Linked DNA regions of Mus musculus. The protein of the gene in region 3 purifies or fractionates together with the protein of the main gene of each other region. This does not show direct contact. Links are inferred from orthologs where the notes say so. Each region holds a gene or a part of one and is shown on either strand. Other genes may lie near its edges. The genes, in order: Pgam5, Slx4ip and Slx4.

Evidence for each region.
Region 1: the proteins of Slx4 (region 3) and Pgam5 purify together in Homo sapiens (affinity purification with mass spectrometry; 4 studies listed by BioGRID and IntAct, with this or other methods). This does not show direct contact. The link is inferred for Mus musculus from reciprocal best matches to the Homo sapiens genes SLX4 and PGAM5.
Region 2: the proteins of Slx4 (region 3) and Slx4ip purify together in Homo sapiens (affinity purification with mass spectrometry; 6 studies listed by BioGRID and IntAct, with this or other methods). This does not show direct contact. The link is inferred for Mus musculus from reciprocal best matches to the Homo sapiens genes SLX4 and SLX4IP.

The regions. Positions count from the first base shown.
Region 1 is NC_000071.6:110,267,087-110,271,049, forward strand, and holds the start of Pgam5 (serine/threonine-protein phosphatase PGAM5, mitochondrial), read right to left. Parts: upstream 2,814-3,963; 5' UTR 2,754-2,813; coding exon 2,566-2,753; intron 180-2,565; coding exon 1-179. UniProt on the Homo sapiens protein: Mitochondrial serine/threonine phosphatase that dephosphorylates various substrates and thus plays a role in different biological processes including cellular senescence or mitophagy. Modulates cellular senescence by regulating mitochondrial dynamics.
Region 2 is NC_000068.7:136,890,679-136,894,976, reverse strand, and holds the start of Slx4ip (protein SLX4IP), read right to left. Parts: upstream 2,810-4,298; 5' UTR 2,616-2,809; intron 1-2,615.
Region 3 is NC_000082.6:3,998,858-4,002,849, forward strand, and holds the start of Slx4 (structure-specific endonuclease subunit SLX4), read right to left. Parts: upstream 2,822-3,992; 5' UTR 2,749-2,821; coding exon of another isoform or gene 2,625-2,748; 5' UTR 2,514-2,624; coding exon 2,504-2,513; exon of another isoform or gene 2,451-2,503; coding exon of another isoform or gene 2,096-2,450; exon of another isoform or gene 1,462-2,095; intron 489-1,461; coding exon 261-488; intron 1-260. UniProt on the Homo sapiens protein: Regulatory subunit that interacts with and increases the activity of different structure-specific endonucleases.

The DNA.
Region 1 (3,963 bases), on a different chromosome or scaffold from region 3:
CTAATGGTGTCAGGGTGCGGTCCTTCTCCAGGGAGCCATCCACATGGTACTGGGAATGCCGGATGAGGAAGATGTGCCTTGTGGCCTTGGCCTTATAGTGATCCAGCCTGGATGTCAACTCGTCTTCTCCAGATTCCACATTCCTTTTCTTCAGGTTAATGAGTGACAGTGGCTCTCGCCTAATTGTAAAAGTATGTCTTATCTTATGACCTCTTGTCCAAGACACCTTTCAGTGCTTGGGAAAAGGCCTGGGGGAGAAGCCCAGGCCAGAGAGCCTAGCCTCACAGACTCTTCCCGAAAAGGCTAGGCTCGCTCTGGTTGATACATATATTATTCCTGCATATAACATGAAGCCTCAGGTTCATGTTCCTGGTGAAGACAGGCTGGGTGAAGAGATGGCTCACAGGTTAAAGTGCTTGTTATACAAGCAGGAAGACTAGAGTCCAGAAGCCACATAAATACTGGGTAGGTATAATGGCCCACTTATAATTGCAGCCTCAGAACGTGGAGACGGGACCCCTAGAAGAAGCTGTCTAGTCAGACTACTTGTGTTGCAAGTTCTCGGTTTGACTGAGAGGCCATGCCTTAAACAATAATCCAGAAGTATGATTGAGAAACAATTTCCATAACTACCCCGGGCTTTCCCACAGACCTACACACATGTGATCTCACACACGTGCACATGAGACGGGAAAAAAAAAAAAGGAGAAACCCAATGATGCCTCAAATAAGCAAGCAGTGTCAAGAGATGTGAGAGTGGATAGTTGCACTGCAGCGGAGCCTAGAACTGTACTGTCTGTGTGACTCCAATAGTCTTGGGGCTGTTTCATTCATTTACTACTTCTGCTGGTGATAAGACAGGCCCTCTCAGTGTAGCTCAGGCTGACGTCACAACAATTCTACTTCAGCCTTCCAAGTATGAGGAGTACAAGCGAGCATATACTAACATCCCTAACGTAAGTTAAAAATACTAGGCACAGGACCTTGGCTGTGCTTTCTCACAGTACAAGTCTGGACTCCTCACACTCTGGAAAAGCTGAGGCGGAAGGATCACAAAAGGCCAGGTTGAATAAGTAAGTCTAACTATACTTAGGTCTTTCGTAGCTCAAGATTCCACACTCAATATTCAATCAACCGGGCATCAAAAAATACTCAAAAGTTTGCATCTGAACTAAACAGACCTTTTTGTATGTGATTTTTTTTTAAAACCTCAAGCTATATATTTTAACAACTACTTAGGTAGCAATTTTATTGTACTGAGTGTGATAAATAATCTAGGAATGATTTAAAGTATACAGGAGGATAAGCTAGATGCCTAGGTTATCTGTAAATACTTCATTATCATGAACATCCACAGAGTTTGATATGTTCAGGGATCATGGACCCAATCCCCCACCATACAGAGGGATTACTATAATTAATTTTAAATCAAATAAAAATAGAGCTCTTTTCTAAGTCACACTAAACACACTTTAAGTGTTGAGCAGTCACTGGGGTAGTGGCCATCACAATGTTGAGGACTGTAGTTAGTGGAGTGGACGTAGGAGCCGAAGAAACTGAAGCTACTCAGTTAAATGTAGGAGGCAGGAATAGGACAAGTCAGAGCTGCCCAAATTAACACAATGGTGGAAGAGGAAGGTCTGGAAAGGGTGGTGGTGGCGGCTCAAGCATGATCTGAGCAGGCTAACCTGGGGTGTTAGTCCCATATACAGACCAGGCCAAAGTCTTGCTGCAGCTACAGGGCCGTGTGTGGGGCTGGACCAGACAAAATTTGGAGACGACTGTCAGAGAGGAAGGCATACCAGAAAGAAACCAAGTGGATATGCCCCTTTTAGTCCCTTCCGGCACTTGTTGATCCATCTGTCATGCATCCTTCCCCACCTAACAAGGCCACTGTACCAATCCATCCACGTAAGCAGACACAGCAAGCAAATATGAAACATTTAAAATCAGGTCATTTCTTTTTTCTTTCTTTCTTTTTTTTTTTTTTTTTTTTTTGAGACAAGGTGTTTCTATATAGCCCAGAATTCAGAGTTCTGCCTGCCTCTGACTCCCAGTGCTGGGATTAAAGCTGCATGCCACTCGCTATACATGCCACTGTACCCGGCTTCCATGGGTAACCCAACCCTTGGCTCTACTTCACGCACGGGTTCTCTGGCCTCTGAAGGGATAGCATGCTTGCAGTCCCAATCTTCCCCAAGCTGCAGGAGGAGAATTTGTGAGGCAAACCTGGCTGTCTATCAAGACCCTGACTCTGAGTAAGACTTAATCCTTTGGAATTTCAGGCCCACAGAGGATGGTGGTCCTGGGACAAAGACCTGGTGCACTGTCTCTGAACAAGGACTCTTCGAGTATGGGGTCCGGGCGGTTAGAGGTCCCTCAGAGAGACGGGTGGCCCAGGCGCGAAGACCTTCGGGAGGTGCGCCATCCAGGCACTGCCACCGATTCACACAAACTCAAGACCCACTAGCACGCAGCGTCCCCTTCCCTTCAGAGCACCGATCTCCGCCATCCCGGGATGGAGGTGAGGAAGCAGGGCCGAGCCCAAACCTCCCGTCCCCGCACCTGTCCCAGTTGGTGTCCCAGACGCCGCGCCCGGCTCGCGCTCCTGTCCAGGCCGGCGGCTCGGTCGCGCGCGTGTCTGCATCCCCGCCACCTCGCGGCTTCCCTACCGCGACCGCCGAGAAGAGAACAGCGGCCGAGCCACCGGCCAGACCACAGGCCGCCAGCTGAAGCGCCTGCCGGAAAGCCATGCCGCAAATCGCGCGACCTGACGGCGGGACGCCAGGAGCAGACTTCCGCTTCCGGCTGGTGGAAGTCCCGCCCCTTCCCCCCCCCCCGACGAATCAGGAAACGCGGCCCAGGGCGCCACCTGCCGGTGGTCGCAGGGTAGCAGGCGCAGATGCCTGCCCTTTAGTGGGTGGAAATCAGGCACTGGGGTTTATTTATTTATTTTATTTTATTTTTTTGGTTTTTCGAGACAGGGTTTCTCAGTGTAGCCCTGGCTGTCCTGGAACTCACTCTGTAGACCAGGCTGGCCTCGAACTCAGAAATCTGCCTGCAGGCACTGGGTTTATATGAATTGAAAAACCTCAAGTTTGGCACTTCAATTTGAAGTTTTTATGTTTTCATTTGTAATCTTTAAGTGTATGCATACTCTCAACTTTCACCTCCTGAATTCTTTCCATTTTTTTCCCTAAGAACCTTCTTCATTCAACTATCAACCCTCCATTCCCCACCCCTAGTCCCTGGCACCTACCATCGCGCCTCCAAGTTTTACCGCTCTAGTTGCTTTTGACCAATTGACCGGGTCCTTCTGTGTAGGAAAGGTGTCCACCTGCTCTTCCAGGGCCATTGTACCCAAGGCCTAGGGACTAGACTGGCAGGCCCACGGACTTACAGCTCCAGGCTTGGGCTTTAACTACCAAGCGGCCCAGCACTTGGCAGCTGTTATAATTTTCATCTTTGAGCAACAATGAACAGCAGCAGGCATTTGGTAATATTACTGCTCCTGAATGAACCTCTAACCTCAGACATTCTCAGAACCCTTGGCCTTCCACAATGGCTAAGGCGGTCCTTTGGCTAGACAGCTCCCTAAAAGTCTTAGCAACAGGATCTGTTTTTTCCACAGCCTTCTTTCACCTCAGCTCTCTATTCTCTCTAGCCTCAGCCTTTTGGTGTTCCTAGCTCAGCCTACCCTACTATTGATAAAAATAAATTAAATTTTTTTTACAAAAACCCTCTAAGGCCTGACATACCAAAAAAAAAAAGGATACAGAGGCTGTATTTCACACTGACTGAAACGTGAGTTTCAGTCGGCTTATATATAAAGAGAAAAGGGTGTTATGGCAAGGGTCTTAGCCCCAATCCTGGCAGTCCTTCATGCACGTTTGAATCAATCGCAGGTTTTCTGCAGAGCCACCAAGGGAGAGCCTCCCCCTGGCCTGGATGAGACGATTGCAA
Region 2 (4,298 bases), on a different chromosome or scaffold from region 3:
ATAAACTATATAAGAGAAAGGTAATCCCAACACAAAATATTTTACCACTATATTCTTCTGTTTTCATAGTATATAGACAGCACTAAATAACTTTTTTAATAACTTTTTTCTATTGAAATAATCTGGAGAAGAACATAGTTATGCAAAAATGAGCACACTGAAAACAAAAATCTCAATGGTTATCAGTTAGTGAGTTGTAACAATGACTGTATAGCCACACACTGAGAGCAGTTAGCGATTCAAACAGGCTGAAGAGTCTGTGGCTGTAGCTCTGTGATAAAGCACTTGCCTAACAAGCACTAAGCCCTGACTTCAATTTGCAGCACCACAAAAGAAAAAAAAAAAAAAAACTAACTAGGAAGAAAAAAAAAAAGAAAGAAAGAAATGAGCTATCAATATAACAAAGATGGTTCTCAAAATAATTACTCATACTCCCTCTCAAATTAAAAACCATAGTACGAGATTCCAATTGAAATAAGAATCTAGAAAATGCTTGTTTATACTGATAGGTCAGCAGCTGCCTAGAAAAAAGTAGCTAGAGGAATTACCAAGGAACATGATCAAACTTTGGAGCGTGATAGGTATGTTCATTATTTGACTGTGATGATGATTCACCAGTGTTTATATATGTAAAACACATCACCTGGTACATTTTAAAGAAATGCTGTTATTTGTACTACAACTTCATCTCAATAAGGCTATGTTTAAAAGAAGATCTTTTGATTTAAAAAATGTATTTAAAAATCATCTTCCTGGCCTTGGGTAATGTATTTAGACCACCTTGTTTTTCAAATTGATGCACAAAGTGGAAAGCCAAAGAATTTCAGTCATGGGAATGTATAAATAAAATCTTAATAATCCAAACTTGTAATTATAATATAATAAAATATACAGCTACAGGTAATATTTTCATAGCTGCTAGTATATGCCAGGTACTTCTTAAAAGAATTTTTTTAATTTATGTGCATGGGGGTGTGACTGTGTGCACCTTTGCACATGTGAGTGTAGGCACCCGCAGACATCAGACACCTCTGAGTTCCCAAGAAGCTGGAGTTACAGGCAATCGTGAACTGCCTGACATAGGTGCTGGGAACTAAACTCAGGTTGTCTAGAACAGCACACAGCTCTTGACTCTGGGCCAGCTCTCCAGCCCATGCCAGGTACTTAGGAAGCACATTGCTTGTATTAACTTAGCTAACTCTCACAGGAGTCCTACCTTACAAGTTAGGAAACTCAAGCACAAGGGTGGGTAACTGTCTTTTAGATCTCAGAGATGGAGCTGGGGTGAAGGAAGTAGGATGTACAGTCAGGGAAGACGTTTCAGAACTGATTTTTTTACCCATCCACACTACATCACTACCCTTAGTAGCACTGTAAAAATTGCAAACAAGCAATATTTCAGTGTAATAATGTTTTCCTACATACTCATAAAACATGAATATCCACAATGGAAACATTCATGTGAGACTCAGTAAAACAAATGGTGTTCATTCTTCTTTCCCACTTAGACTAAGGAAAAGACATATATGGCAAAGTAACAATTACTGGGAAGCTGGTTGACAAGGTAACCAGTCACTGGGACATTGGTTCAACACCCACCCAACCTAATACTCCTCCCTGTCTCCATGGTATTTTAAGTAAAGCCAAGAGGGAAGGTGAAAACCAATCTTACGCCTAACAGCATGAAAACCATGTCTCAAATACCTTAGTGTCATCTATATTCCACATAGTCTCCATTTCTATCTGCAACTGGTCTGAAGTCTGGTTTAGAAGCTTCCCAGGTGACTGTCATGGGCAGCCAAGGTTGAGAACTACTGATTTTCTTTTCTCATACAAGAAGACACAGAAGAAAGCCTGGTGCTACAAAAAGCTAAGGTAAGCCACAGTCCAAAGTTTCCAAGTCACTATTATACTGTGCCCAAGTGCAGCTTCTACTCATTCCAAGAAACATGCTCCCAGAAGATGCTGGGATGGCTGGTCGATGATTACACTGAGCAACAAGGCCATGCTACCTGGACTATTAGCCTTACAATTATGGCTATATACAGTATCCAAGAAATACGAGAAGTGAGAACATGAAGTTGCTTGTCCAGCAGTGCTAAAAAAAAAAACATTAGAACATTATGTTCCTGGTCCCAGCTTTGGATATATCAAAGCAAGTGGATGAAAAGGAGGTTTCGTTTTGTTTTGTTTTGAAGTTTACTTCTATATTTTATAGCACAAAACTAGCTAAGTATTCAACAAATTCAATGAATGAATGAATGAATGGGAAGAATATACAAACACAGCTGATCACATTTTAAAGTCCTCTGGGAGCTATATTCACCTCTATAGATGCAGAAAGCCATACAATTAATGATCAAATTTGCTGTTCCATCCATTTTGCTTTGTTATTCTACGGAAATTCCCTCAACGTTATTGTCCCTTTAAATCTCAGTCTTCCTGAACAGTGGTGTTTAACAATTCTAATGGAAAGAGAAGGAATACCTAAGAGAAAAATTGTGTTAAGTCCCAAAATCCAAAACAAAAATACGTATTGGTATAAGATGGCCAAACAGTTCGGTCCAACTGAGGGAAGAGCTGGGTTATCCGAACGAAGTATCACACGCTCTTACCTACGATGGTGGCGGGAGGTGGGTTCGGGCTGTAATGCTTTGTTACTGTCCGGGGTCACTGGTGGACTAGTATAGTACCTGAACGGGAAAACTCAGACTAAAAAGGCGGCAGACCAAGCTTCAGCAGCTTTGGCTTACTTCCCGTTTCCCAGCGTCCCCTCGCACGTTAGAGAATGCAACCAGCGCCCAAACACAAGATGGCATTATCGACTTCATTCGGTTGGAAGCCACTGCCAGCACCTACGATGGCGCCCGAAGCCCTGGCTAAGGTAATGGGATAGCCGGAAAGAACTGCCCAAACGAAAAATGGCTTCTGTCGATGATATCAACGCTTTATGGAGACCAAAATAAAAATGGCGGCCAAAGCGGATTTTTTTTTTTTTTTTAAGAGGTTGGAAAAGCCACAAATACAATTGGCAGATAATGTATCACTGTACGTCAACGATATGTACTGATGGACAACAACAACAAAAGCCGTGTTTTTCGTATCACAAAACTATAGGGCAAGAGTAGAAAATATTTTTAATGAGGAAGATTAAAAGATACGTTGAAAAATAAAGGTGCCTTTCACGGTGCCAGAGAAAAGCGAAATAAAATATGTTTAAACATAATTTCATAATGCTTCGGGTGGTTCAAAAGAATAAAAGACTTATCTCTGAAGAAAAAAAAAAGAAAGGCAAAGCCAAGGAAATTAACCAACCGGATCCGGCACTGAATTGAAGACTCCCGACTTCTGCCAACCCCGCTCCTAGACTGGGCGGAAGTTTCCTGCATGGCGACAGGCTCTGTCTGCGCATGTTCGCTCTCTGACGTCACTCGGACCGGCAGGGCGGAGCCAGTTTCTACAGCTTAGGGCGTCCTGAGAGAGGTGGGAATTGACAACTGAGTGACAGGGCAAGGCGCCTTGTGATTGGTCAGAACAGAGGAAACGCCACCTAGGACTGGTAACAGCTTCATTCGTTCTACAAATACCTTTCGAGAGAGCAGAGAGCCGCACGCTCTGCCACCTTCTTGGTGCTGTGATGTGATGTGATGTGACCTTTCAATTTTGGTAGCGCGCACAGACAGAATACACGTCTGCCCGTAAGATTTCCGGTGACGGCCGCAGCTTTCCTTTGCGGGAGCTTCACGCAAACCCCGGAAGAGGGGCGGGGGAAGGAGGGGTGGTGCGCGTGAGCATAGAGTTGCGCATGCGCCTTCTTGCCGCGCAGGGCAAAGGTGGTGGCGCTCCGCTGCGTGGTTGGTTGCTGTGCAAGCGCGATTTCTGGTTTCTGGTGGTGAAGGTGGCCTGACCTAGAGGTGCAGCTGCTGGTGGGCAGGTGAGAGGGGCCAGGCCGCTGGTGGAGAAGCCAGCCTGCGGCCTCACCGCGTCCCCGCACGGAAAGGTCGCGAGTGGTTGGGACAAGGGTATTTGGGGGCGGGGATACAGAGGCACCTGGCTACCGGATTGGCCCAAGGACAGCTTTCAAAGTAGCTTCAGAGCGGGGCGGTGGTGGTGCACGCCTTTAATCCCAGCACTTGGGAGGCAGAGGCAGGCGGATTTCTGAGTTGGAGGCCAGCCTGGTCTACACAGTGAGTTCCAGGACAGTCAGAGCTACACAGAGAAACCCTGTCTCGGAAAACAAACAAACTAAACAAAACAACAACAATAAAAACAAAGTAGCTTCAGGATGTGACTATCTG
Region 3 (3,992 bases):
GGGAGCCAGGACCCTCTCCCAGCCTCCACAGGTAGCCATGCTCCCATGTACATACCCACACAGATACATAATGTATACAGAATTAAAAATAAAACATAAATAGTTTTTATAGGGACACTCCATTCTTTGGCTAGCTCCAATGAGGTGGTGAGGTAAAGAGCAGACAGAAAGCTGTATACAGAAATAAAGGCAGCGGCTTCTTGCACTGCCTCTCCTACACAATGTAACTTATCTTAGAAGGCAGAGCATGCTCACCGTACCATTTTCTCCCACTGTCTCCTCTGGAGGGCTCCTTGGGACATCGTCTCCCAGTGCAGTCTTTTGGGGGGATTCTTCTGAGGCGTGTCTCAGGCGCTCAGGGTCTGCTCTCTTGAACTGCTTCATCCGTTGCAGAACCAGCTCTGAGACTCTGGGTTTGGAGGGACTTGGTACACCAGTTGTCGTGAAACAGGAAGGAAGAGGCTGGGAGTTGCCATTGGGAGCACTCTCTGACAAGGAAGAAAATATTCACAGGTTTTGTTGTATAGCTTAGACTCAAATTTCCAAAAGTTCTTTACTAGTCATGGACCTGTTCATCCACTCACTGCAGCTATGCAAACACACAACGGCAGAAGGCACTGGATGCAGTGCCTGCTGCTGAGCTTGGGGTTCTGCAGGGGGTGACGAATATGCTCTCGAGTTATGTAGTGGTGGTGATGGATTCATAATGCTGAATGTACTAAACACACTCAACTGTATACTTTAAAATTATGTAATGAGCAATATCTCAATAATGTTATTAATAAAGAAATACTAATGACAAGTGTTTATCTCTTCCTAGACCCATGTTTTAACCTGAGATACACCTACAGCCTTCAGTGGAGATCTAGGAGCCCAGGAAGCTACAGGCTAACTGTGCAGGTTTGCATGTGCAAATCACTGAGGCCTTTCACCGGCTGCAGAGAGAGAGACTGAATGGCCAGCATGCCTGGGCAGGGCTGTAGAGTCCTTCAGCAGTCTCCAGGAGGTCAGACTTTAAGACCATCGATGAAAGACTCTGCACCCACACTAGAAATGTTTTTTACAGTAAGGAAGAGAAAGTGAGGAAACAGAAAGCAGGAGCCGGCAGAGCCCATCTTACATGTAAGTCTGGTTTTCAGTTCTGTGTGAAGGGTTAGATGAAGCATATAGATAGCTGAGGAAGCTGTCAGCCCATCCTCTGAGAGCCTCCTCAGTCTGAGCAAACTGGCTGGACCATTCCAATGTACCTACCTTAAAATCAATTCACACATATACTAAAGGTGCCATTATTTCTATGCTGACATGACTACTGTCAACTACATAAACAGTGACAAAAAGCTCATGGAGCACAAAGCTCTAAACACACTCATGGGAGCACACAGAGGACTGGGCAAACTGCTTGTAGGGCTAGGCTTATTTCTGTAAATTAAGTTTCATCAGCACACGGCGGCCCCCATTCACCTCCACATCGTCCTGGGCTGCTTCCTCACCACAGCTGCCATTAGGAAGAGTTGACCCTTTGTATCGAGGGGGGATCAGTTCTCGGTGCCCCTGAAAATTACTACCTATCTACATTTAACTTGTGCATACCTAGTGTACTTTAATTCACCTATATATTAATGTGATATCCAATATAAAGCAAAAGCTATATAAATAGTTGCTACAAGGTGTTGTTAGGGAATGAAAACGAGAAAAAAAGTCTGGACATATTAAGTACAAATTATTTCTTTTATCAAATGTTTACCTTCGGACAGAGTTGGAATCGCATAGATAAAGAGAGTCAATTGTTGTTGCAACATAAACATGTGAACTGTAACAACAACAAAATATTTGCTGTCTGGCCTTTTTGTTTTTGAGATAGGATCTCTCTCTGCATAGCCATGGCTATCCCACACTCAGTATGTAGACACTAAGCTGACACAAACTCCCAGAGATTCCCCTCCTTCTGCCTCCCAAGTGCTAGGACTAGATGTGTGCACCACCACACCCAGCTATCTGCTTTCATAGTAGATTTTCTGAGCCCTGGTTAACAACAGCATTGATCAGTTTGGTTCCTTTCTGGAACCAAATCTGGCAGTGAGTCCTGCCTGGTTACCTGTCTGAATGCTCTGTGCTCTCTCACACAACACTGGCTGATCTGGGGTAGGAGCAAGAACGTCTCCCTTCCCATTCGCAGGGAGAGCTGGGCCCCCTTCTTGAGACTTGGGTGCCCCTTGCTTTGTAGTCCTAGGGGTCTGGCTGCCTAATCGAGGTTTCTTCTCTGAAGGGCCTTGAAGAGCTTTGCTCCTGGCGGCAACTTGGCGGCCTTCTTTCCGTTTGCCTCGGTTCTGAGTGTGGCCAGAGGCCTTCTGCCTCGTCCTCTCTCCTGATGCTTCTTTGGTCCCATTTCTTTTCACCCTTTGGAAAAAGCTGGCACAGAGTTCTTTGAAATCGTCATCTGACTCCTCCATCACTTGACCTGTTTTAAGGTTTCCGGTTTGTCTTTAGGGGAGTGAGGACCGACCTGGAACCATGTCCACAGATGAGGAACTCGTGTGTGAGCCCACTCAGGCCTTCCCACGCCTCTGACCTCACTGCAGCTCAGCAACTCTTCTCTCTGATTTACTCGGAGACTTTGTACTGACCTCCTCTCCATGTGACTTTTATATCTTCCTTCAATTTGGACCCGTAGCTAAATAAGTTGTTTAAAAACTTCACAAGTGAGAGAGCATTTTGTTGTCCAACAGCTGCCTCTGAGATAGAACACATGTGAACTCTGTGATCAGGTGATTCTCCAAGATCTCCACAGTGATAAAGGGCGTAGGTTCATCTAATTTTATATCTGTGGAAAACCAAAAGCATCTAAGTATAATTAGACAGCTACTGCCATTTTATGTCATTTTTTCCCACGGTGTACAAGAGGATGTCAGGTATGAGGAAAGTCTCCAAATACAGTCTGGTTACAAGTACACTTGTTCCACAGGATGTCCCAGTGCAGAGCACATCACACACAAGACATATCACACACCACATAAGCACGCACACACGTGGTTTTTACTGAAATTGGAGAAAAATATGAAGAGCAGCTGCCACACAGATATATGCTCCCCAAATACAGGGAGCTTATCTCGAGTGGCCTCAGGACTCCAGCTGTCACCTGATCAGCTTATGGGACAGTCAGCAGATGCTGCAAAATGATTGAAATAAGGAGAAAAAGGATATATATATCCTTGTACATTCAGGAGACAGAAAGGCCACCTTTTTTCTATTCTGAGTCCATAAGAGCTCTCTAAGCTGCCTGCAGAGAAAGGCTGGCTCTTACAGGCATGAATGTTTATTAGGGCAAACAGTATATTCTAGTTCAAAATCAAAACTGAATAATCTGGGTCTGGGGAAACAGCTTGGTGAGTAAGGGTAAGTGTGCTTACTGAAAAGGACAGGAACCTGAGTTTAGATAGCCAGCACCCATGTTTAAAAAAAAAACAAAACCAGGTGTGGAGGCACTATTGTAGCCCCAGTGCTGAGGATGGGAGGGGAGATAGAGACAGGAGTATTGTTGAACCTTGAAGGTTGGCCAGACTACTTGAAAATTTGCAAGCTCCTGAGAGACCCTGTCTCAAGAAAGCCAACAGTGATAAAATAGTATACCCAACATTCTCATCTGGCTAACAGATGAGAATACACACACACACACACTCTCACACCTCCCTATATAACCCAATGACAGAAATCTATTCATTCCAAATACATAGTGCAATAATCTTATAGACGTCTCCCCTACTCCTTCACATGGGCTCTTTCCCCCACCTCACTCCATGTTGTCACACATGGTTGCCACAGTGACACCTGTCACAGCTTATAATCATTTGCAGGGCATAACATTCATTGAAAGCTTATATGCCCAATGCTATGCTAATTGCTTTTCAAATCTTTAGCCCATTTAATCCTTACAGCAATACTATATAATACAATCTACTGTCAGCTTTTCCTTATGGTGAGGAATCAGCCACAAG